Caenorhabditis elegans: one gene and its partners. The protein of the gene in region 3 purifies or fractionates together with the protein of the main gene of each other region. This does not show direct contact. Each region holds a gene or a part of one and is shown on either strand. Other genes may lie near its edges.

The links.
Region 1: the proteins of ccdc-55 (region 3) and Y71G12B.13 fractionate together in Caenorhabditis elegans (co-fractionation; one large-scale study listed by BioGRID). This does not show direct contact.
Region 2: the proteins of ccdc-55 (region 3) and W04C9.6 fractionate together in Caenorhabditis elegans (co-fractionation; one large-scale study listed by BioGRID). This does not show direct contact.

The regions. Positions count from the first base shown.
Region 1 is NC_003279.8:1,700,105-1,707,166, reverse strand, and holds the start of Y71G12B.13 (RING-type domain-containing protein), read right to left. Parts: upstream 5,063-7,062; 5' UTR 5,045-5,062; coding exon 5,018-5,044; intron 4,596-5,017; coding exon 4,479-4,595; intron 3,206-4,478; coding exon 2,681-3,205; intron 1,507-2,680; coding exon 1,412-1,506; intron 1,370-1,411; coding exon 1,162-1,369; intron 1-1,161. Other genes in the region: lsm-6 (U6 snRNA-associated Sm-like protein LSm6), read right to left, coding at 5,469-5,589, 5,683-5,795; ubc-3 (UBC core domain-containing protein), read right to left, coding at 6,380-6,489.
Region 2 is NC_003279.8:485,104-492,165, forward strand, and holds the start of W04C9.6 (MFS domain-containing protein), read right to left. Parts: upstream 3,290-7,062; 5' UTR 2,888-3,289; coding exon 2,855-2,887; intron 2,800-2,854; coding exon 2,691-2,799; intron 2,625-2,690; coding exon 2,484-2,624; intron 1,747-2,483; coding exon 1,364-1,746; intron 517-1,363; coding exon 278-516; intron 174-277; coding exon 50-173; intron 1-49. Other genes in the region: W04C9.2 (MICOS complex subunit MIC13), read left to right, coding at 3,513-3,620, 3,665-3,730, 3,779-3,841, 4,597-4,668; haf-4 (ABC-type antigen peptide transporter), read left to right, coding at 4,948-5,099, 6,094-6,199, 6,247-6,456, 6,507-6,621, 6,733-7,057.
Region 3 is NC_003281.10:4,165,606-4,172,667, forward strand, and holds ccdc-55 (Nuclear speckle splicing regulatory protein 1 homolog), read right to left. Parts: upstream 3,161-7,062; coding exon 3,050-3,160; intron 2,863-3,049; coding exon 2,713-2,862; intron 2,364-2,712; coding exon 1,446-2,363; 3' UTR 1,343-1,445; downstream 1-1,342. Other genes in the region: E3 ubiquitin ligase rnf-5, read right to left, coding at 313-559, 1,161-1,228; E3 ubiquitin ligase rnf-121, read right to left, coding at 3,484-3,604, 3,664-3,783, 4,293-4,444, 4,503-4,594, 4,645-4,781, 4,825-4,979, 5,032-5,211, 5,284-5,334; C16C10.4 (putative histone deacetylase complex subunit SAP18), read left to right, coding at 5,735-5,916, 6,042-6,222, 6,323-6,460. UniProt on the Caenorhabditis elegans protein: Required for the cessation of distal tip cell migration at the end of larval morphogenesis.

The DNA of each region.
Region 1 (7,062 bases), on a different chromosome or scaffold from region 3:
AATTCGACTTTTTTTGACTAAAAGATCGGAAAAATTCAAATATTTTGTAGGAAAATTGGCAATTTTGTAAAAAAAATCGAAAACTGCGTAATTTTAGGAAAAATCGGCATTTTTTGTATTTTTCAGCGAATTTCGAGAAAAATGTCTGAAAACAGAAACCCATAAATTTCGGAAATTAAATTTAAAATTTGATTTTTTTGAAATTGCTTTAAAGCATGCTTATGATACCACAATAACCGAATATATCATAATAAAAAAATTCAAAAAAAATTTTTTTTTCTAAATTTTATATGATTTTTGAAAATTGAAAAAATCTCAGTTTTCCCCCTAATTCCTATTTGAATTTCCGCCAATTGAACTCGTTCGTTGGAGCGCGCTTGCATTGTTTTCATTAATTTTTTAAAATTTATTTTCATTATTTCACTGATTTTCTTCATTTTTTGGGTGTTTTTAATCGGAAAATGAAAGAAACATACAGGAAAAATGCAAAATGTTTATTAAAAAGTAACTGAAAATGCCTAAAACTGTGAATAATACTTATTTCAGGCTCGTCATCGTCGGATCGTATAATTTCAGAGTTTTAGGCATTTTCAGTTACTTTTTAATAAACATTTTGCATTTTTCCCGTATGTTTCTTTCATTTTCCGATTAAAAACGCCCAAAAAATGAAGAAAATCAGTGAAATAATGAAAATAAATTTTTAAAAAATTAATGAAAATAATGCAAGCACACTCCATCGAACAAATTCAATTAGCGGAAATTCGAATCGGAATTAGGGGGAAAACTGTGATTTTTTCAATTTTCAAATATCATAAAAAATTTAGAAAATTTTTTTGCATTTGTTTTACCATGCTATTCGGTCATTATGACCCCATAGGCGCGTTTTAAAGCAATTTTTTCGAGAAAAAAAATTATTTTTTCATGTAGATTCTGCGAATTTTTGAATTTTGGCTAATTTGTGTAAAGTTTTGCAAAATCGTCGCAGGAAAATCAAATTTTTGGGTTTTTATCGAATTTTTTTGTTTTTTTATGCCAAATTTTTTAAAATTTTGCAAAATCTTCGCAGGATAATCAAATTTCTAGGTTTTTCTTCGTTTTTTCGGCCAAATTTTTCAAAAATTTCCATGATTTTCGTCATTTTTCCTCTTCTTCAATCCGTACCATAACATTGCCAACTTTCTCTCCGACAGCTTTCTTAATTTGTTGCAAATCAATTCCAACACTTTTCAGCAACTCATCCGCATTTCCACTTCTCGCCACCATTTTCTCTTCTACAGTGAAATTAATCATTCGACGTCGGGCAGTTTTCCAATCTTCACGAGTTATTGATTGTAGACAATTTTCAATGTCTTCTATCCGATAGGGAAGTCTAAAATTATCGATTTTTTGCCATTTGTTGAGCATTTCCAACCGTAAAGCCGCTCTTGAACGCTTATAGGTCATCGGAGTACGCTGGAAGTAGTGAGCATCGAAAAACTCCTGCATACGACGGAATAATTCGGATTCCTGAAAAAAAAAATCGATTTTTGGGAGATGTTAATGAAAATTTTTGCGTTTTTTTCGCAGTATTGAGCAAAAATTCGAAGGATTTCACCCAGAAAACCCAGAAAATCGCGATTTTTTTTTCTTCCAATTTTTTGATTATCGAAATTTCCGTTTAAAAATTCGAGAAAATTCGAATTATCGATTAAAAATCCAGGAAAAGTGTAATTTTCACTAAAAATTCGGGAAAATTCAAATTTCCAGTAAAAAAATCGGGAAAATTCAAATTTTCGCTCAAAAATACGGGAAACTTTGAAGAAATTCAAATTTTCATTCCAAAATTCGGCAAAACTGAAATTTTCACTAAAAAATTCGGGAAATTTCAAATTTTTGCTAAAAAAACTCGGAAAAACTCAAATTTTCACTAAAAAATTCGGGAAAATTCAAATTTTCTTTAAAAAGTTCGGGAAAAGTCAAATTTTTGCTAAAAAATCGGGAAAACGCAGATTTCCGTTGAAAACTTCGAGAAAATTCGAATTTTCAACTAAAAATCCAGGAAAATTCAAATTTTCACTAAAAAATTCGGGAAAATTCAGTCTTTTGGTAAACATTTCGAGAAAATTCAAATTTCCGTTGAAAACTTCGAGAAAATTCAAATTTCCGCTTAAAAATTCGAAAAAAACTCAACTTTTCGCTTAAAAACTCGGGTAAATTCAAATTTTCGTTAAAAAGTTCGGGAAAATTCAGATTTCCGTTGAAAACTTCGAGAAAATTCAAATTATCGATGAAAAATCCAGGAAAATTCAAGTTTTCACTAAAAAATTCGGGAAAATTCAAATTATCGATTAAAAATTTCGGAAAATTTAAATTTTCGCTTAAAAATCGGAAAAATTCAATTTTTCGCTTAAAAATTCGGGAAAATTCAGATTTCCTTTTAAAAATTCGAGAAAAATCAAATTTAGATTTAAAAATTCGGGAAAATTCAAATTTTCGTTAAAAAGTTCGGGAAAATTCAAATTTCCGTTTAAAACTTTGGGAAAGTTTAAATTTCAACTAAAAAGTCGGGAAAATTCAAATTTTCGCTAAAAAATTCGGAAATAATCAAATTTCCGTTTAAAAATCCAGGAAAATTCAAATTTCCGCTTAAAAATTCGGGAAAACTCAAATTTTTTTCAGCTCAAAAGTTCCAAATTTTCACCTCCATATTTATAATAGTATTCGACGCTTTCGAGTCGGCCGCAACTTTTTCTATCAACGAAGCCCACGATTTTCCAGAATCATTAAGCCGTCGCTTAATAGTCCTACACGGCCTGACGGCCTCTTCTTCTTCAATTTCCACATCATCAATACTCTGATTTTCAAGCTCAGCTTCTGCCGAGCAAGACGTTGAAGGGGTATTTGTATTATTAACAGTTTCGGAATGAAGACTTTCAGCTTTTAGCCTATTCTGACCACTGGATTTCTCAGAAATCGTAGTCGTCGTCGTCGTCGTCCCGTCCAACGAGTTTCTGGCGGCTCGATTTTCAGAATTTTCAGAATTTCCAGCCACTGATGAGCAACGGGAGACCGGTCGAGAGTTGGCGAACGTCAGGGGATACAGATATTGATATTTCTCGGGAAGCTTCTCAATGCGTGGCAGGGGAATGCATTTTTGACGCTTTTGGAAGGCAGTTTGGACGACATGATAGACGTGTGGAGGCATATCCATTGGGAATTGACATTTCTGCAAATAAAAAATAAATAAAAAATGATTAAAATCGGCAGTTTTAGTTTTTAAAAAAGTCGTAATTATGCACGCTCTCCTCAAAGCCGAATAATTATTAGAGCGCGCTTGCTGCGCTTCGCATTTCTGAATCCGCGGTATTTTGACTTTCCACTGAAAAAGCAGATATTTCAGATTTATCGAATTTTCTAGCTTTAAAAAAAATTTTTCTCCAGTTTTCGAACAAACCTTTTGTTAAACAGTGAAAATCGAATTTAAAATGACTAAAATGAACTTTTTTCGTCCACTGGCTGTGAAATGGTTTGAATTTGAAAAAATTAACGGGATTTTTCTTATTTTCTAAATATTTTTCTATTAAAATCGGTTTTAAAACATTTGTGACTTTTAGGGTCAAAAAAATGGGTTAAAACCGATTTTTAATAGAAAAATATTTAGAAAATAAGAAAAATCCCATTGATTTCTTCAAATTCAAACCATTTCACAACCAGTGGACGAAAAATTTCATTTTAGTCATTTTTCGATTTTCACTGTTTAACAAAAGGTTTGTTCGAAAGATGCATTTAAAAAATTTTAAAAGCTAAAAATTCGATAAATCTGAAATATCTGCTTTTTTCAGTGGAAAGTCAAATTACCGCGGATGCAGAAATGCGAAGCGCAGCAAGCGCGCTCTAATAATTCTCCGGCTTTGAGGAGAGCGTGATTATGAAATATTACTGAAAATTAATGTTTTTTAAAATCAATTTCCGGTGAACTTCCGATGATTTCGACGATTTTTCCGCCTCAAAATTACTCGATTTTCACAAAATTAACTAAAAATTGTCCGTTTTGTTGAATTTCAAGTTCAAAATTTGAAAATTCTGAGGAGACATTGCTTTAAAACATACCTATGGTACCACAATGACCAAATATCATAGTAAAATTTTTTTTAATGTTCTAAATTAAAAAAAAAATTTACTATGATATTTGGTCATTGTGGTACCATAGGCATGTTTTAAAGCAATTTCCCCACAGAATTTTCAAGTTTTGAACTTGAAATTCAATAAAACCGGAATTTTTTAGTTAATTTTGTGAAAATCCAGTGATTGAGGGGAGAAATCGTCGAAAACATCGGAAATTCACCGAAAATTGATATAAAAAACAATAATTTTCAGTTAAATTGCTATGAAAAGCTGATTTTCTCCGTTCATACGAGCCAAAACAACCTGAAATTCGATTTTTAGCTCGATTTTTGCCTGGTTTCCCAATATAAATTCAGTTTTTCATGAATTTCTACCTGAACAGCCTCACATATCCACCAAATATTATCGGATCCATTGGGTTCGGTGCTGATGAGCTCTGGCTTGAGCTGTTTCGTCTTACATCGCGGACACTTGAGCCATTCGCTTTTCATCTGAAATTAAATGAGTTTTTTGATGGAAAATTCGAAATTTTAAGGCTAGAAACGAGCACAAAATGAGCACACAAACGCTCAAACTTTGAAACTAACTGTTTTTTTTTCAATTTTCGGAAAATCGATGGGGGGACAGAAGACTGATGGATTTCGTGCGACGTCTCTCTCTCTCTTGCTCTTCTTTATCTTCTTTTGGTCTTTTCACTATGAAATTAGGTATAGTTTTTGAATGGTATCATTTGAAATGTGCGATCACATATCGGGCGGCAGAAAACCGCCTAATTCTCCTTTTCCAGTGCGGGTGGAAAGATCATCGCAAGGCGGTTTAGCCTTAGTGTGATCGCATATCATTACAAATTATCACTTACCACTCGGAGAGCAAAAGTTAATCAGTTTTTAAATCAAAAAAAAAATCAACTTACTAAGGCGGGAAGTGGTCCGGGTGGCATTATCCTTTTGAAAATTGTCTGAAAATTGCGATTGTTGCAGTGAAAGTGGCACAAAAATACGTAGAATTCGAAATTTGAGTTGAAAAATCGAAAAAATCACCGGAAAAGCTCGAAAAATCGATGAAAACGCGATAAATTGACTTAAAAATGTCTTCTTTTTTTCGAAAATGCTTCCCCGTAAATCGAATCGTGGTGAGACCCACCGCACGTGACGCATGACCGCGACGCGTCTAACGGTGAGGAAACCCAAGAAATTTCTCGATTTTTGCTGAAAAAGCCTGTTTTCGAGCGAAATAACTCAGATTTTCGGCGAAAAAAAAAACACAAATTTATTCGAGATCCAAACGTATCAAACAAGAAATTTGCTCAAAATAGCTCAAAAAAGGGAAAAATATTTGGAAAATAAATCGAAATCAAAAAAAAGTTATTTCGTCGATGTGGAGATGTAGAGCACATTGTTCCCGCGGATGAACGCATCGCCGTACTTGTTCTGAAGTTGTCCGTTGCTGTATTCTTCGGTTTGTTCGAGCGCGATGTTCATATATCTGAAAAATTAGATTTTTTCGTAATTTTTCTGGAAGAAAAATTAATTTTCAGGTGTTTTTAATCAGATTTTTTGATTTTTCCCAATCACTAACCCGTCGAGACATGCGAGAATGCCACGGTAGTCGACGCCAGAGTTGAGCTTCACCACAACCGGCTTTCCGATGACTTTCTTCAGGAATTCGGCGGGATTCTGTCGTTTGCTCATTTTCTAGAGTGCTGAAATTGAGAAAAAATATTACTTTCACGGGTTTTTAGAGTAAAAATATGTTAAAATCAAGAGAAAAATGCGTTAAAATTGCGATTTTGCTTCAAAAAAAATTATTTTCTACAGTGTCCGCAAACACCGTGACGCAAAAATGCAGACTTGCGAAAAAAATGTTTTTTTCGGATTAAATCGACTTATTTTTTGAGAATTCAACTCTAAATCTGCAATTTTCCGAGACAATTTAGAAAAAAGAAGGCTTCATTTATAGAAAACAAAAATAGTTGAAAGTGCACTGTGATCAGCCTGTGTGTGTGTGTAATTGGACAAAAAAAACTGTTTCCAGACGAAAAAATATTGAGTATAACACAAATATGAATTGATAGCTGCTTGGGAAGGGCAAAAGTGTACATATAAATGCATTGAGAAAAGGACTAGTTGAGTCGGATTTTGAAGATTTTTTGTTTGAAAGAAGCGCCAAGATTTCGTGGTATATTTGATATGAATTTGAATTTTTCTAGGTTGGAAAATTGAGAAAATTGAGAAAAAAAATGGGGAAAAAATTATAGAAAATTAAAAAAAATTGACTAATTTTCTCCTTGTCCCGAATCCTCGTCATCATCATTATAGTCCGAGCCGCATTCGTCCTCGTCCTCCTCCTCTTCATCGTCGTCATAGTCACACCCGAAATCGTCGTCTGAAAAAAATCGATATTTAATTGAAAATTTGGCAAAAATCCGGGTTTTTAACTGAAAAATCCAATTTTCTCGGGAATTTTACAACTAAATTTGCGAAAAATAGACTTTTTTTTGAGGTTTTTGAGGTCACGGGGTTCTGACCTTCCTCATTGAATTTTTCGCGCTCCATTGACAATCGCCCGCCGGAAAACGTGTGGGAAAGTCGTGTACTCCACACGGACAAATACATTTAGTTTTACAACTAAAATCGAGCCGCGGCGCGACACGCAACGCGCCGTAAATCTACCCCAGATATGGTGGCCTGGACTAGTTCGGCAAAAACTCTTCCATTTCAATTTATAAGGGAAGCCAGAAATCCGTGAATTCGTGCGATTTCTGGCAATTTACCTGAAAAATCGGCAATTTTTTTTGAAAAAAGTGTATAATTTTGCGGATATTTCGACTAAAAACTGACAATTTTTGAATTTTACCAAAAATAGCCAGTTTTAGTGCAAAAAACGCAAAATATAAGACATTTTTAGCGTAGAAGATGAAATTTTTAGTCTTAATTCACTTTAGACATCAAAAATGTC
Region 2 (7,062 bases), on a different chromosome or scaffold from region 3:
TCCCACTGGAAGAGTTTTCCTATCTAGGCCACCACCACCACCCACTCACCATTATAATAATAGCCAGCAAGTGTTTTTCCTGTGGAATAAATGCTAGAACGATGAAAAAAACGGCGGCCACGGCCAGAGCGATTGTGTTGAAAATTTTAGTTTTCAGAGTTTCTGAGATGAATCTGGAATATTGATTTTTGGTGGCCGTAGAGAGGAAAAACTCGGCCACTGATTTTTTTCACAATTATAAAATTATTTTTCCAGGAAAAACCCCCGAAAAACTCACTTAATATAATCACTAATAATTCCCGACGATAATTTCGTAAAAAATTGAAAAATAATGGGTAAGGCGGCCAAAAAACCGGACGAAAGTACGTCATAGTTCAAATAATTTTTCATATATTGCGGATTGAATTGGGATACCAATTGAACTGTTATCAAATCTCCAAACGATGCGATCCAACAAGCCCACAGGCTTAAACTTGTCAGAATATGACGGAATGGAAGATTTTTTGGCCGGGATACCTGCAAAACGAAAAAGTAACGGGCTTCGAATTTCCCCCCCCATGTTTTCAAATGGAAGAGGTGGCCGTGAATAAAGCTAACCTCGACCGGGGGTCGCGACTCGCGACAAACGGGAAAACTCAAAGAAATTTCGTACTGTCGCTACTTTTTTTGAGTTTTCCTGTTTGTCGCAGGTCGCGACCCCCGGTCGAGGTTCGCTTTTTTCACGGCCACCTCTTCCATTTGAAAACATGGGGGAAATTCGAAGCCCGTGAAAAGTTAGGCCATGCAATGCGATGTGGTGGCCGAGGTTTTGAAAACTCGGTTACTCTCATGTAAAAAATCTTGAAGTTGAAGCAAATTTGCGTACATGAAACCCATTTACCTTGCTAGCAGTTTTAGAAAAATTTGGGATTTTCTCATACTAATGAGGGAACGTCTTAATTGTCGACAAATTGCGTACCCCGAGGAACCCACTAATTCAGTCCTAGGTTTAGGCATAGGCTAAGGCATAGGCTTAGGCGTAGGCCTAGGCTTAGGCTTAGGCTTACACGTGGTGTCAGAGTGCCTCATTTCGGCTTGATCTACGTAGATCTACAAAAAATGCGGGGGAAGAGCCGCAGAGTTTTCTACTGATTTCGCATGGTTAAGAGTGTGCTGACGTCACATTTTTTGGGGCAAAAATTCCCGCATTTTTGGTAGATCAAACCGTAATAGCACAGCCAGGCACCACGTGCGCTTAGGCTTGGGCTTTCCGTAGTCCTTCGGGCGCGTTTTTCTCAAAAATGATACGTGGTACAATTTCAGGTTTTTTTCCGCTCCAAAATCTAGTTATAATTTGTGTCCGGTAGAGCGCGTTTGCACTCACTTTCTTTCCCGATTTCCCTTCTCGAATCCTCTCCAATTCCTTCTCGCCAACCCAACTGTGCTCACTCGGCGAGCACTTGAAAAATAGGAAAAACAGCGAAAAAGTGACCAACGATACACCGGCGTGCACATAGTAAACCGACGTCCATCCACCAGACGAAGAGCATAACCATCCCGAAACTGGCATTGTAAATATATTTGAAAGTTGTGTATTTCCGGTTAATAGGCCAATGAATACTCCGTGCTCGTATGGGGTCGCCCAATTTGCTGTAATTGAGCCAGCGAGGGGAAATGTGGCTGAAAATGCCATTCCTTGACAAATACGGGCGGCCACAAACCATCCGTAGCCAATGGTACTTGCCAACGGGATAAGGGCTGTTGAAACTGGAAAAATTGAGTGCAATACATCATATTTGACGCGCAATTTTAAAATTTAAAAAATGGAAACGCGCTCTAATGATGCTTGGTGTACTCCTCTCGGACAATAAATGTCAATAATTTTTGAAAAATCGATAATTTTTTTTTAATTTCAGAAAAATTCGTGAAATCTGTTTTATTTTGCGCGTAAAATATGATTCTTAAATACTTAATTCAGTATTTTACGCACGTGGTATCAGAGTGTCTCATTTAGGCTTGATCTACGTAGATCTACAAAAAATGCGGGAGAAGAGACGCAGAGTTCTCAACTGATTTCGTATGGTTAAGAACGTGCTGACGTCACATATTTTCGGGCAAATAATTCCCGCATTTTTTGTAGATCAAACCGTGATGGGACAGCCTGACACCACGTGCTTACGCGGAATTTTTCACAATTTTTTGTGCTTCATGCACCATGTTTTTGTTTCGAAAAATCAGATTATTGTTTTGCGCGTCAAATTCAACGCCCACTGTGCAATACACCATATTTGACGATCAATTTCAAAAATTTTGTATGCTTTCGATGCATGCTTTTTGGGGTACTGTAGCTTTGAAAATACGCATGCACTGGATCTGACGACAAAATGCACAGTTTTTATAAAATTAGTCTATAGAAATTAGTCAGTTTTCTCGAAACAAATAAAAACTACAGAAAACTCGGCCACCGATATTTTTTTTTTTCGCGGCCACGATTGACGTCATACCTCCCGAAATAATTCCGGCGACAATGAAGACAGGTTTATGCGGCAAATGTTGAAAAGAAATGGAAAATGGAATCGAGGCGGCAAGACTTCCAATAGCCACACACGATTGAAGAAAATTCGACTCTGATTTGGTATAGTTCACTGAAAAAATCAACTATTTTGGCGGCCGCCAATGGAAAAACTCGGCCACCGAATTAAAAAAAAAACCTTTTGAAGTTGAAGTACTATTATCATCTTGCATACAAATTTTTGTAAAATTATAAGTATTCATATTTGAAAGAATCGAGGTCAAACACAGTGTGGCACATATTAAAATCTGCAAAAAAATCGTGAAAATTCAATTTTCCGGGGGTTTTGAGTTCAAAAAGTACCAGAAATCGGACAGGAACCGGCGAGTTGACCATGGTGCATCAGAAACCGGAATTTTAAATAAGTAAAAAAATTTATGATGCTCGTGGTGATAACGAAAAGTGCAGTGATCAATTTAAGGGAAATACTGCTGGGGGATTAAACGTTGACACTGTCAACTTGATAGTGTTAATTTGATCAATGCTTTGTACTTGTTTTTTGCAGGAAAAATTCTTTGAAAATTGCAAGACTATAGTATAGTCTGAAAATTTGATGAAATCTAAAACTTTAATAAATACCGTTAATTATCATTATTTTTATGAAATTTTAATATAATCTACTTAAAATTTAATTTTCTAGGCATCTGTGAGCTTAAATTTTCGATTATCCCTCGCCAAATTAAAGATTTGCAGACTTTTAAGCTTATAAGCTTATTTCAGTGAGAGAGAGCATTGTGAGAAGAGAAACGCAGACGAGGCTGGCGCGTTTCTCGTGCTCTGACGCGAGTCTCGATTTGCTTGCGCATTTCTCGTGCGCGCGACGTTCATTTTATTTTTCCGATTTTTTTTCAGTTTTTCTGAACTTTTCTTCTTGAATTTGTGATTTTTTATTTATTTTTCACGTCTTGTTGCAAAATAACTGATTTTTCACACAAAATATTCGAATTTTCAGGTCGGCAACATGGGATTCTTGTGGAAAACTGCAAAACTCGGAATTAAAGTTGGACTCGTCGCCGGCGCCGTCAAACTGTCAATCGATAACGATATTTGGTCGACTAACAATGTTAAAGTATTAGTTTTCCCCCGTTTTTCCACGAAAATTTTCATTTTCAGGGCAGCGAACTGTATCAAAAGCTTAAAAAGTACATTCTTCCCGGCACCGTCGTCTTTCCAGAGCAGGTTTTATCGATTTTTTCTCTGAAAATGCAATTTTTTTCTTATTTTCAGCTCCCAACAGTCGAAGATGTGCAGCTGAAGGCCGGTGGAAAGTGGAACAGTGCTGTTGACTCGGTAGGCTGCATTTTTGAGAGGAAACACGGAAAAATTGCTGCGAAAGTTGGAAAAAAGTCCTGGAAAATGGAGATTTGGCGCCGAACGTTCAAGAAATTCCATAATTTCAAAAATCTATCTGAAAAATTGAAAAATATAAATTTTCAGTCATTTTTAGTCAAATTTCAGAGCTAAACGTCGAAAAAAGTGCCTAAAACTAGGAAAAATATGACAAAAAGACACAAATTTTGGAGAAAATTGCTGAAAATAATGCAAAACACTTTTTTTCACAAAAAGCGAAATTCAAAAAAAATTCCACGTCAAAAATTAACCAAATGCAAGTACGCTCCATCGCACTTTTTTCCAATTTCTGACTCGAAAAGTCTTAAACTTCTGGTTTTGTAGGAAAGATAATGCAAAACGCAATTTTTAGTCCAAAATTCAGAGAAAATTCTGAAATTGTTTTTAAAAAAAATGCAAGCACACTCCATGGCACTTTTTTTTCAAAATTTCGCGTAGAAAATTACAGACATTAGCAAAATTCCGACGATTTCGCTGCGAGACCAGAAATATTGTAGGAAATTCAAACATTATCCGAAAATAATGCAAACGCGCTCTATCGCACTTTTCTCCAAGTTCCCACTCAAAAAGCATAGAAAATACCTGAAATTGCCGTTTTTTTTCACCGGAATTTCAAATTTACGCGATTTCGCTGCGAGACCCAAGCTAGTGCAGTGGAGCGCATTTCCAACAATTTCAAACTCAATTTTTTTCAGGTATTCACCACAATCGAGAACGTCCCATCAAGCGTGAACACAGTGGCCAATCGACTCATCAATAATAAATAAATTCCCCATAAAAATTATCGATTTATCGATTTTCCCCCCGAATCCTCGTGTATTCCTTCGTTAGAATGTACTTTTTCCCTCCTCATTTTCTAGAAGTATTTGTGTGTGTGCTCTATGAAAAAATTTGCAATTTTTGACTTTAAACGGACGGTGCATTATATTATTTTATCAGTTCCCATCGTTGATCAATTTTCTCCACTGATTATCAATTCACTGATAAGCTCACACTGCCTGCCCAACTCAATTCATCGCAACTTCTTCTCCCTGCTTTTTTTTGCCATGAATTCGACGGTGGCTTCCCGTTTCTCATGGGGACTCATTCTGGCGTCGATCGATTTTTTGGCGTGCCTACTGTTCGCCTGCCTGCATGATGGAACTTTCAAATTCGCGAATTTTACTTCGCAATTTGGCGATTTTTCGTTTTTTACGAGGTTCGATTGATTGGTGGCCGAGTTAATTTTAGGCCACGAAAAATGAAAATTGAAGCCGAGTGTCATTTTCGCTGGAATTCTAATTTTCAGTGTGTAAAAATATAGAAAACTGCAAAAAATTTTGAATTCCCGCCAAAAACTAACGTTACGAGACCCAAGTACAGTGGAGCGCAGTTGCAAAAAAAAATTTTTAATGATTTTTTGCAACTACGCTCCACAGTCCTTGGGTCTCACAACGTTGAAACTAAAATTTTGGAATTTCTCCCATAACTTCTTATAATAACGATATTCGGTGGTCTCGACACGACATATTTTCATTAAATAAAACGGGTGTGCGCCTTTAAAGAGTACTGCAGTTTCAAACTTTAGTTGCTAAGCGTATTTTCAACAAAGCAACGAAAATTTGAACTTACAGTACTCTTTAAAGGCGCACGCCCGTTTTTATTAAAACAAAAACTTGTCGTGTCGAGACCGGGCACCGTAGTTTTGACGCTAAAAATAAGATTTATGAAAAAGCGGGTTTCCAGAAAATTTCACTTTTCAAACTTTGATGAAAATTTGAAGTTTCCAGCCAAAATCGCTGCGAGACAGTGGAACGAGTGCAGTAGAGCGAAATTGCTGTAAAATTTTGAAAAAAAAGTGAGAAATTTAAAAACACGGATTTCTGGCCTCCCCCGTAAATTGAAATGGAAGAGTTTGCCGAACTAGGCCACTTTGGCTCGCCCATATCTGGGGTAGATTTACGGCGCGTTGCGTGTCGCGACGCGATTTTAGTTGGAAAACTAAATGTTTTTGCCCGTGTGGAGTACACGACTTTCCCACGTGTTGTCCTCTAGGTGATTGTCAATGGAGCGCAAAAAATCCAATGAGGAAGGCCAGAACCCCGTGAAAAAGTACGCGTTTTTGAAGCAATTCATCGAAAGAAGACAGTAAAAAAAAAGTCAAAAATTCAAATTTCCAATAGAAAAACCACCAAACCCAACAATTTTTCCAGCACAATCGACCTATTCTTGCTGCAATTTTTCCGTTTTGCACTATGGATGGTGCCGGCGGCAATCCACGTGGCCAACAAGGCGGACACGTTGACAATGTGGAAAGAGGTCGGTGGCCGCGTGGCCTAGAAATCCCGAAAATTTCAAATTTTCAGCCAATTTTCTGCTCGGCACTGCTCATCTGCGCGGCGAGCCCCACAAAATTGCTCCTCCTCACAGAAAAGCTGAAGCCCGATGAGTTCCTCACTTTCGGCGACACTGCCTTCCTTGTCTGGAATTTCATTTCCGCGATCATTTTGAACTCCTCGTGGACAAGATACTTCTCGCGAACTCCGTCTTCATATATAATTCTGGAGGATGAGGATGTAAGTGCGCTCCGCTGAGAAAATGTTTTGATCACCCCCACGATTTTCAGCTCGAGGTGGCTCCAAAACAAACGTTTGAGCTTATTTTCCGCCTGCTCCAATACTGCAAACGTGAATGGCTCTGGCATATTTCCGGATTCTCGTGGCTCTTTATTTATTCGATCAGTAAGAGAATATCCATCGGGGGTTTTTTGTTTCGAATTTAAAAAAAAACACAAGTGGAAGAGTTTTTAAGATTTCTAGGCCACGCACCCACTCCAAAACCCCAATTTTCAGCCCGTATCTTCGTTCCCTATTACACGGGACAAGTCATCGCTACCGTGGTCGCCACAAAATCGTACCCAGCCCTCTCCAACGCTGTCTACATCATGACAATCATCTCGTTGGTGAGCGCTGTCGCCGCCGGATTCCGTGGAGGATCCTTCGAGTACGCCTACGCAAGGATCCAGAGGGCAATCCGCTACGATTTGTTCCACGGACTCGTGAAACAGGATGTCGCTTTCTATGATGCTCACAAGACCGGAGAGGTGACTTCTCGTCTGGCTGCTGATTGTCAGACTATGTCGGATACAGTTGCGTTGAATGTTAACGTTTTCCTCAGGTAGG
Region 3 (7,062 bases):
ATTTCCTTTAGCAATTGTTTTCTTTTTTCTCTTTTTATTATTTATTTAAAAAAGAAATTATGTGTTTGAAAGAGACATTAATTTCCGATAAAACTATATTTGCCGAACATTTAAGAAAAATTCGGTTAAAATTATAGAAAACACTTTCCAATAAAACCGGTCTTTTTGTTATAATCATGTGAAATTTTTCTTCTTTTTTTCATTTAAAAAAAAGTAAAATTTGATGATGATGATGAGAAAATTGAAAAAAATAGCATAATGTCTTTTTTTAAGTAGTTCAGAAGTGTTAATCAGTGCATGAGTAGTGCATACCGGTGGTGGTTCACTTCGTTGTCCTTTTGGACGTGGTGGAACTTTTTTACGTGGATCCGATGAATCGCCACCTCTTCCATAGATCGGTACAACTTTATTCCCATCAATTGCACTTTTACACACTGGACAAACTTGATTATTTGGACGAGTATCAAGCCATTGACTCAGACATGGCCAACAAAAAAGATGTCCACATAGGGAAACGACTGCATCTTTTGCTGCGTCCAAACAAATATTACATTCAAATCTGCAAAATTACGATTATTAAATTTTGGAAATTCTGGAAACTTGTATTTTTAGAAACGGTGAAAATACGAAAAATTTGAAAAGAGTCAGTTTTTAAAATTCTTCGATTTTTTTGTCAATTTTTCGGGAAAATTATTAGTTTTGATAACTTTTTTTTGAAGACATACTGCTTGTAAATTCAAAACTTAGGCCATTTTCGTTTTTCCTACTTTTTTTGAAATTTTTGAAAATAACTGTAATATTTTCTGTCGGATTTTTTTTCTCGTATTTCGGTTTCTTGTTGATTTTCCGGAAAACTCCTTTTTTAAAAATAATTTTCGGTTATCTTTGAATCTGTTCTCATTAAAATCAAAACATTTCTGGTTAATTCGTAGTTTTTCGGATGTTTTAAAGTGTCGTAAAAGTATTTAGATAAACTGCCGTTTTTTGAAAATTTACAGCAAAAATAGAGAAATTATTCGGAAAAATAATTAAAAAAAAAAAACAGAAAATATGTAATTTTAGATTTCTCAAAAAAAATTAATCAATAAAAATTCGTTTTTTTAATTTCCGGTCATTTGTTATGTCTAACGATTAAAACATCGATTTTTTTCTAAATTTACCTCGCAGATTCATCTTTATTACTGGAGCTCGTGGGCTCCTCGGATGGAGCTTTCGTCTCCGACGCCATTGGCTCCGAACTCTGAAATTCCTTATTTAATTCTCTCTGAAATCACGTATTAAAATATATAAAAATGGTAGAGATAACCATAGAAGTTTTTAAAAAATGAACATTGGAAATTGAAATTGGATATTTCATTAGGTCTGGAATTGGAAAATTGGGAGATTGGAATTTTAACCAGCAATTGAAAAAAACAAACAAAGAAAAAATAAATAAAAATTAAATTTTACAATGGAGGTACAACAATTCCTTGCTCCTTTCTCTCGAAATATCTTTGCCTCGCTGCCTCAATATCTTCTTCTGTATTCCGCTGCTTCAGAATTTCTTTGAGTCCGTCTAATCTTGCTTCTTTATCGATTTTCTTCGGCTTCAGCTTATCTTTAAGCGAGATTTTCGGCGCTTTTTCAGATTTTTCAGATTTCCCTTCAGGCGATCTTCTACTCCCTGATTCTCTCGATTCTATGGACTTCCTTGAAGTTGGTGACGGGCTTGAAGTCCTTCTCCGAGCTCGTGGAGCTCTTGCACCTTCATCATCTGAAGATGGAGGTGTTGGAGTGTAGTTTCGCTGACGGATTCTCTCTGCGTGAGTCGTTGCTTTTTTTTTTGATACCGTATTCAGGCCAGGTTTAAGATCTCCTTCGAAATTTTTTTGTGGAGGTTTTGGTGCTTTTTCCTCGTCAGAATCATCGGAATAAATTGATTTTTTAAGCTTTTCGGCTGGTTTCTTATCCGATTTTTCCGGTTTCGGATCAATTTCTTCATCAGAATCTTCCCGTTTTCTCACATTTTTCTGCTCTTTCTTCCTCTGTTTAATAGCTGTAGGATCTCTTGCCAAATCGTTTAAAAGCGTCCTTCCCATACCAATTTCCCATAATTTCTGTTTCTGAACACTTGTCATATCATTAAAAGCAGCTTCTTCAGCTTCTTGTTCCCGATGTTTCTTCACTTCTTCCTGTTGCTTACGGTATGCTCCAGTTACAAAAACTTCTTTATCATCAAATTCATCGCCTTCTTTCTCTCGTTCTCTGAGTTGTTGGCGTTCTTCACGAGAAAATTGTTCGAGTTGGCGACGAGCATGGGCTTTAATGATGTTCTCCGCGTATTTCGATTCACGATTTTTGTCCGCTTTTCGAGCTTCTTCTTTCTGCAAAAACAAAGCTGTTAGTTGAATTTTTCAGCCTAAAAATACTGAAACTTCTGAAACAAACCATTTTTGGTTAAAGATGTGTTTTTTTTTCTTTTTTAACGAAAAATTTTCGATTCTCTAAAAACCCGAAAAATCGAAAATGTTCGTTTATTCTTGTCCATTTTTTAGATTTAAAAAAATATCAAAATTGTTAGTGGAAACTTATTATATAAATTGTTTTATTTGTTGAAAATTTTTTTTTCATATTTTCTTATCGAAAATTCTTTGTTAATGGTTTTAAAATCTACACTTTTTCGTTTTATTTTTAGTATTTTTTTTTTCGATTTTCAACTTTTCGAGCCCTCACTTTTTCATTCTTAATCGCCTGAATTTCATCGTAATTCCCGTCATAATCGAAAATCGTCGGATCCTCGGCTTCTGCCTTTTGATGTTCTCGTTCTGCTGCTTTTTGCACACGAATAACTGAAGCTGATGCCATATTGGTAGCTGTGGCTGGCTGAAAAGTAAGAAATTTATAATTCAGAAATTTATAAAAGCTTTTCTAAATCGAAAAATAGTCAAAAACTAAAAATGTTTAAAATTGCTAGTAGGAAAAAATTATTTTTGATAATTTTCGGTCATTTCTTTGTTGTTTGAAAACTTTTTCTCCTACACTAAATTTTTCAAACTTCTCTGAATTTTACCACATTATCATCATCATCATCGTCTCCAAAAACACTGGAAACTCGAATTGGAGCAGCTTTCGGTTCATCTTTTTTCCGAATATTTAATCCTACATGCCGTTTTGATGCCATCTAAAAACTTTTTTATTTTATTTTTCCAATTAAAAGAATCCAAAGGATACAGTTTCAGATATAAAACACCGCTGTGAACGGGAATTGGAAATAAAAATTAAACAGGAAGAATAAATAAAGTCGTAATTTTTTTTTCAAAGAAATCAGAAAAATCACCCGGTGCCCGGCAAAAAAGAAGTAACGAGAAAAAATGAAAAAACGAGAATAAAAATGCAATTGGAATGACAATTTTTGTGTGTATTTGTGACTATTTGATAACTTTGGGATGCAGTTAGAAATTATTAAATAAAAATAAATAAGTAAAAATTAAAATAAAAAGATTCCTATTCCAATCCCATCCATGTGGTGAGTCCTTGAACAGCTGTTACAATCAATGGCTGCCAGCAGACGAGATAACGGATCCAGTCAAGCAATTTTCCATAGAATAAATGAGGTTTCTCCCATCTGAAATTGAAAATTTTTAAAGAATTTATAATTAAATTTGATTTTTTCAAAAAACTAACGGATTTTTAAACATTCTCTGTAAATCGACACGTTCTTTGCAATACGGGCATGTTTGAAGTTTTCCAACAACTACCCATCCTCTGATACAGAATTCGTGAAAAACGTGGCCACATGAGAGTCTGAAATTATTGATTTTAAGTTTAACAAGAGCTTTCTAGCCTCATGTGTCGATTTACTTTGTTAAATGCAAAAGGGTGCGCGCCTTTAAAGAGTACTGTAAATTTTAAATTTCTGGTGCACCGGATTTTCGTCAATTTTTCAACAAAAAAATGTTAATCAAATTTTATTTATTGAGGCACCACGGATTCAAGATCTGGTGGAATTCCGGATCTACGTTTTCCGGACCTGGCACCGTGCCAACGCAAAAAAAAATTTCTCGGAGGTCTTGATTTTATTTTTCTGTGTAACTTTTATTCGTATATTTGAATTTTTAATTATCAAATAAAAAATTTCACGAAAAACTGTGGAAAAATCGATGAAAATTCGTTCAAAAGCTTCATAATATCAGTTTTTAAAAATTTGGTGCTTTCTGGTGATTCTCGAAGAAAACTGGAAAACTACTTATTAATTCTTTTTTTTAATTAAAAAAAGTGAAAATTCCAAAAATCTGCTGAACTTCTCCACTCACTTATACAATTTTTCATCTTCATCTTCAACCATTTTCGTTGTAACCACAGCATCTGCATCATGAACATGTTCCGAATCATCAAGACGTCCTCCACAAACAGCACAGACACCGTCTTCTAGATGCTTTTTAGGAAGTCCTTCAGGAGTGTAATACTGAAAAATTGGAATTATATTGATTATTTTTCGGCAGCAGGTGAAAAATGTATTTTACCCCGATTCTCGACGCCATTCTCGCCGTGCAAATGTGAGCAAAATCCCGGCCGAGCACTCCGTAATACACACCATAGAACATGAAAAGGATGCCTGGAAGCTTGAAAATTAGATTTTTTCAAAATTTTTCCAAAATTTCTCACCGGCATCCATTAGTGTTGGCTGTGAAACTCCGAATAAAACATGAAATCCTAATAAAGCTCCCATCATGATCAAATATCCAACAACTCCGAGTACATAACTCAGTTTATGCAAAAATAGAAACCATTTGTAGACGAATCTTAAATTATTTCGTTTAATTCGTCTTTTTTATTCTTAAAAACCTTGGTGTTCCTCCACTGATATGTTGAGCCGAGGCTTTCAACCAAATAAAAGCTGAAAAAATGCAGAAAACAAGCCACGTGGCCAGGAATCGATACCAGGATCGGTTGAAACAAACATAAACTGGAATTGTGAGCATTCCTATTAATGTACACATCTGTAAATGTTTGAATATTAAATAAATGTTTAAAATTAATAAAATTAAATACCTGATAAGATTTAAAATGCTTCCTCTTCCAGGTGACCAGAAAAATCTGTCCAACGATGACAGAAATCATGAAAATAACCATCATTTCCATGTGCATCGCTTCGTGTCCTTTATGCTTTTCGTGCATTTTTCGGTGCTCCTCTGCCCATTGTTCTTCTTCTGTTAGCTCGTGTGGAGGGGGCTGAAAATAAAAATTTATAATAGAAATCATTTTACTTTTAATTAAACTATTTTAAAATCAATAAATACTTACCATTCCTTCCTGAACTTCATTCTGCAGCCTAATTGCCCCATGTTGGCCCATTCTATGGCCTGAAAAAATAGAAATTATTTTGGAAAACGTTATTGATTTTTCGAGAAGGTAAAGCGGACTCCCGCGTGGAAAGTGACCAATTTTAAAAATTGAACGAAAAAAACACTTTAAATTCAATAATTGATAAAAATAGTTGAGTTGGTTAACTTTGCGACAAGGAAATGTCGGAGAAAGATTTGCGGTGAAAATCGAAATAAAATAGGAGAATGTCATCTGCGCGCGGCATATCTGCAAATCTTGTGTGCCAGGGTTGCAAAGAACGCTCCGCCCACAAACATTCGAATGCAAATTTTGGCGTTTTGCTTCTTTTTTCTCTTTTTTCTGTATAACCAAACAAATATATTTTATATTATCCCTTTTTAGAGCAAATTTATCTTTTTTTTTCAGAAAAATGAGCAACGGTCAACTCGTGTCTCAGGTGACAGTTGGTCACGATAAACCATTAGATCGTGAGAAAGTATGTCCGATGCTTCTTCGCGTCTTCGTTGCTAATAATCGTCATAATCCGATGAGCGAGTACAATAGTAGAAATGGAGGATCTGTTCCACCCAGCGAACTTCAAATGCATACTTGGTACGCGGTAGAAATAGAAAAATTAGTACTATTTGGCCGAAATTATAGAACTTTTGTCTAATATTTTCAATAATACATTCAAACTTGTAAGTTTGGTTAACCTGAAGTATTTTTTTTATTTTCAGGATGGACTGTTCTCTGCGTGAATTGACCAGTCTAATCAAAGAAGTGAATCCGGACGCTAGAAGAAAGGGCACCACATTCGATTTCGCTATTGTGCAGGCAGACCGCGGCTCGCCAAGATACATTCTACGCGATGTGGGAAACACGACGAATGGAGAGCGTGGCATTGATGACAACAAAACTGTATGTGATTTTTGACACCACGGAACCATTAGAATTTTATTTGAATTCGGAAATAATATCTCCAATATTAAATTCGTTTTGATTGAACTTTGTTTTTCAGCTACAACAATGCAAATTCGAAGTCGGTGATTTCGTCGACGTCGCGATTTCCTTGCCAAGTCAAGGACGTCGTTTCAATAACCGGGAGCAGGGAGACCGTTTCGATCATCGTCAACGCCAACGTAGTCCGATTCGCTAGACGCCTAACTGTGTGTTAAAATTCAATGATACTCTTCTGTATTTATTAATGTGTCGATTCTTTTTTTTATAACGTGCAATGTAATATTCTGCGTAAATCATGTTTTCCTTTACAATTGTTCAACATACTTAACAATTTACAACAAAGTTTACTTTCACATTTACTGGTCAAAATTGCAAGCTATTTAATTTTAAAAAAGTTTTGTTTTGTGATTATGCAAAAATCGGAAAAATGATCGCGATCAAACTGCTTTCAGCGAAAACTAAAATTTCTTCTCGAATAATTTATTGCTTAATAAATGATAATGGACGGGGGGTAGAGCAAGTAAGATTATTGAAAATCGAAATTTCCAAAAACGTTCTAATTGGAAGTTTCTTTCGCCTTCGAAAACTCCTAATAAGAAAGTTGGAGGAAATTCGCACAGAAAAAAAGGCAGGTAAAACAGGAGTATCTACTATTCAAACTATGTGTCAATGTACTCTACTCTAGATTAAATTACAAAAGGATTCTTAGTTGAAATTATAAAAACATAAAGGGGAATACGATACAATTATGGGGAAAAATGTAATAAAGAATGTTCAGAAAAACAAAAGCATGGGAAT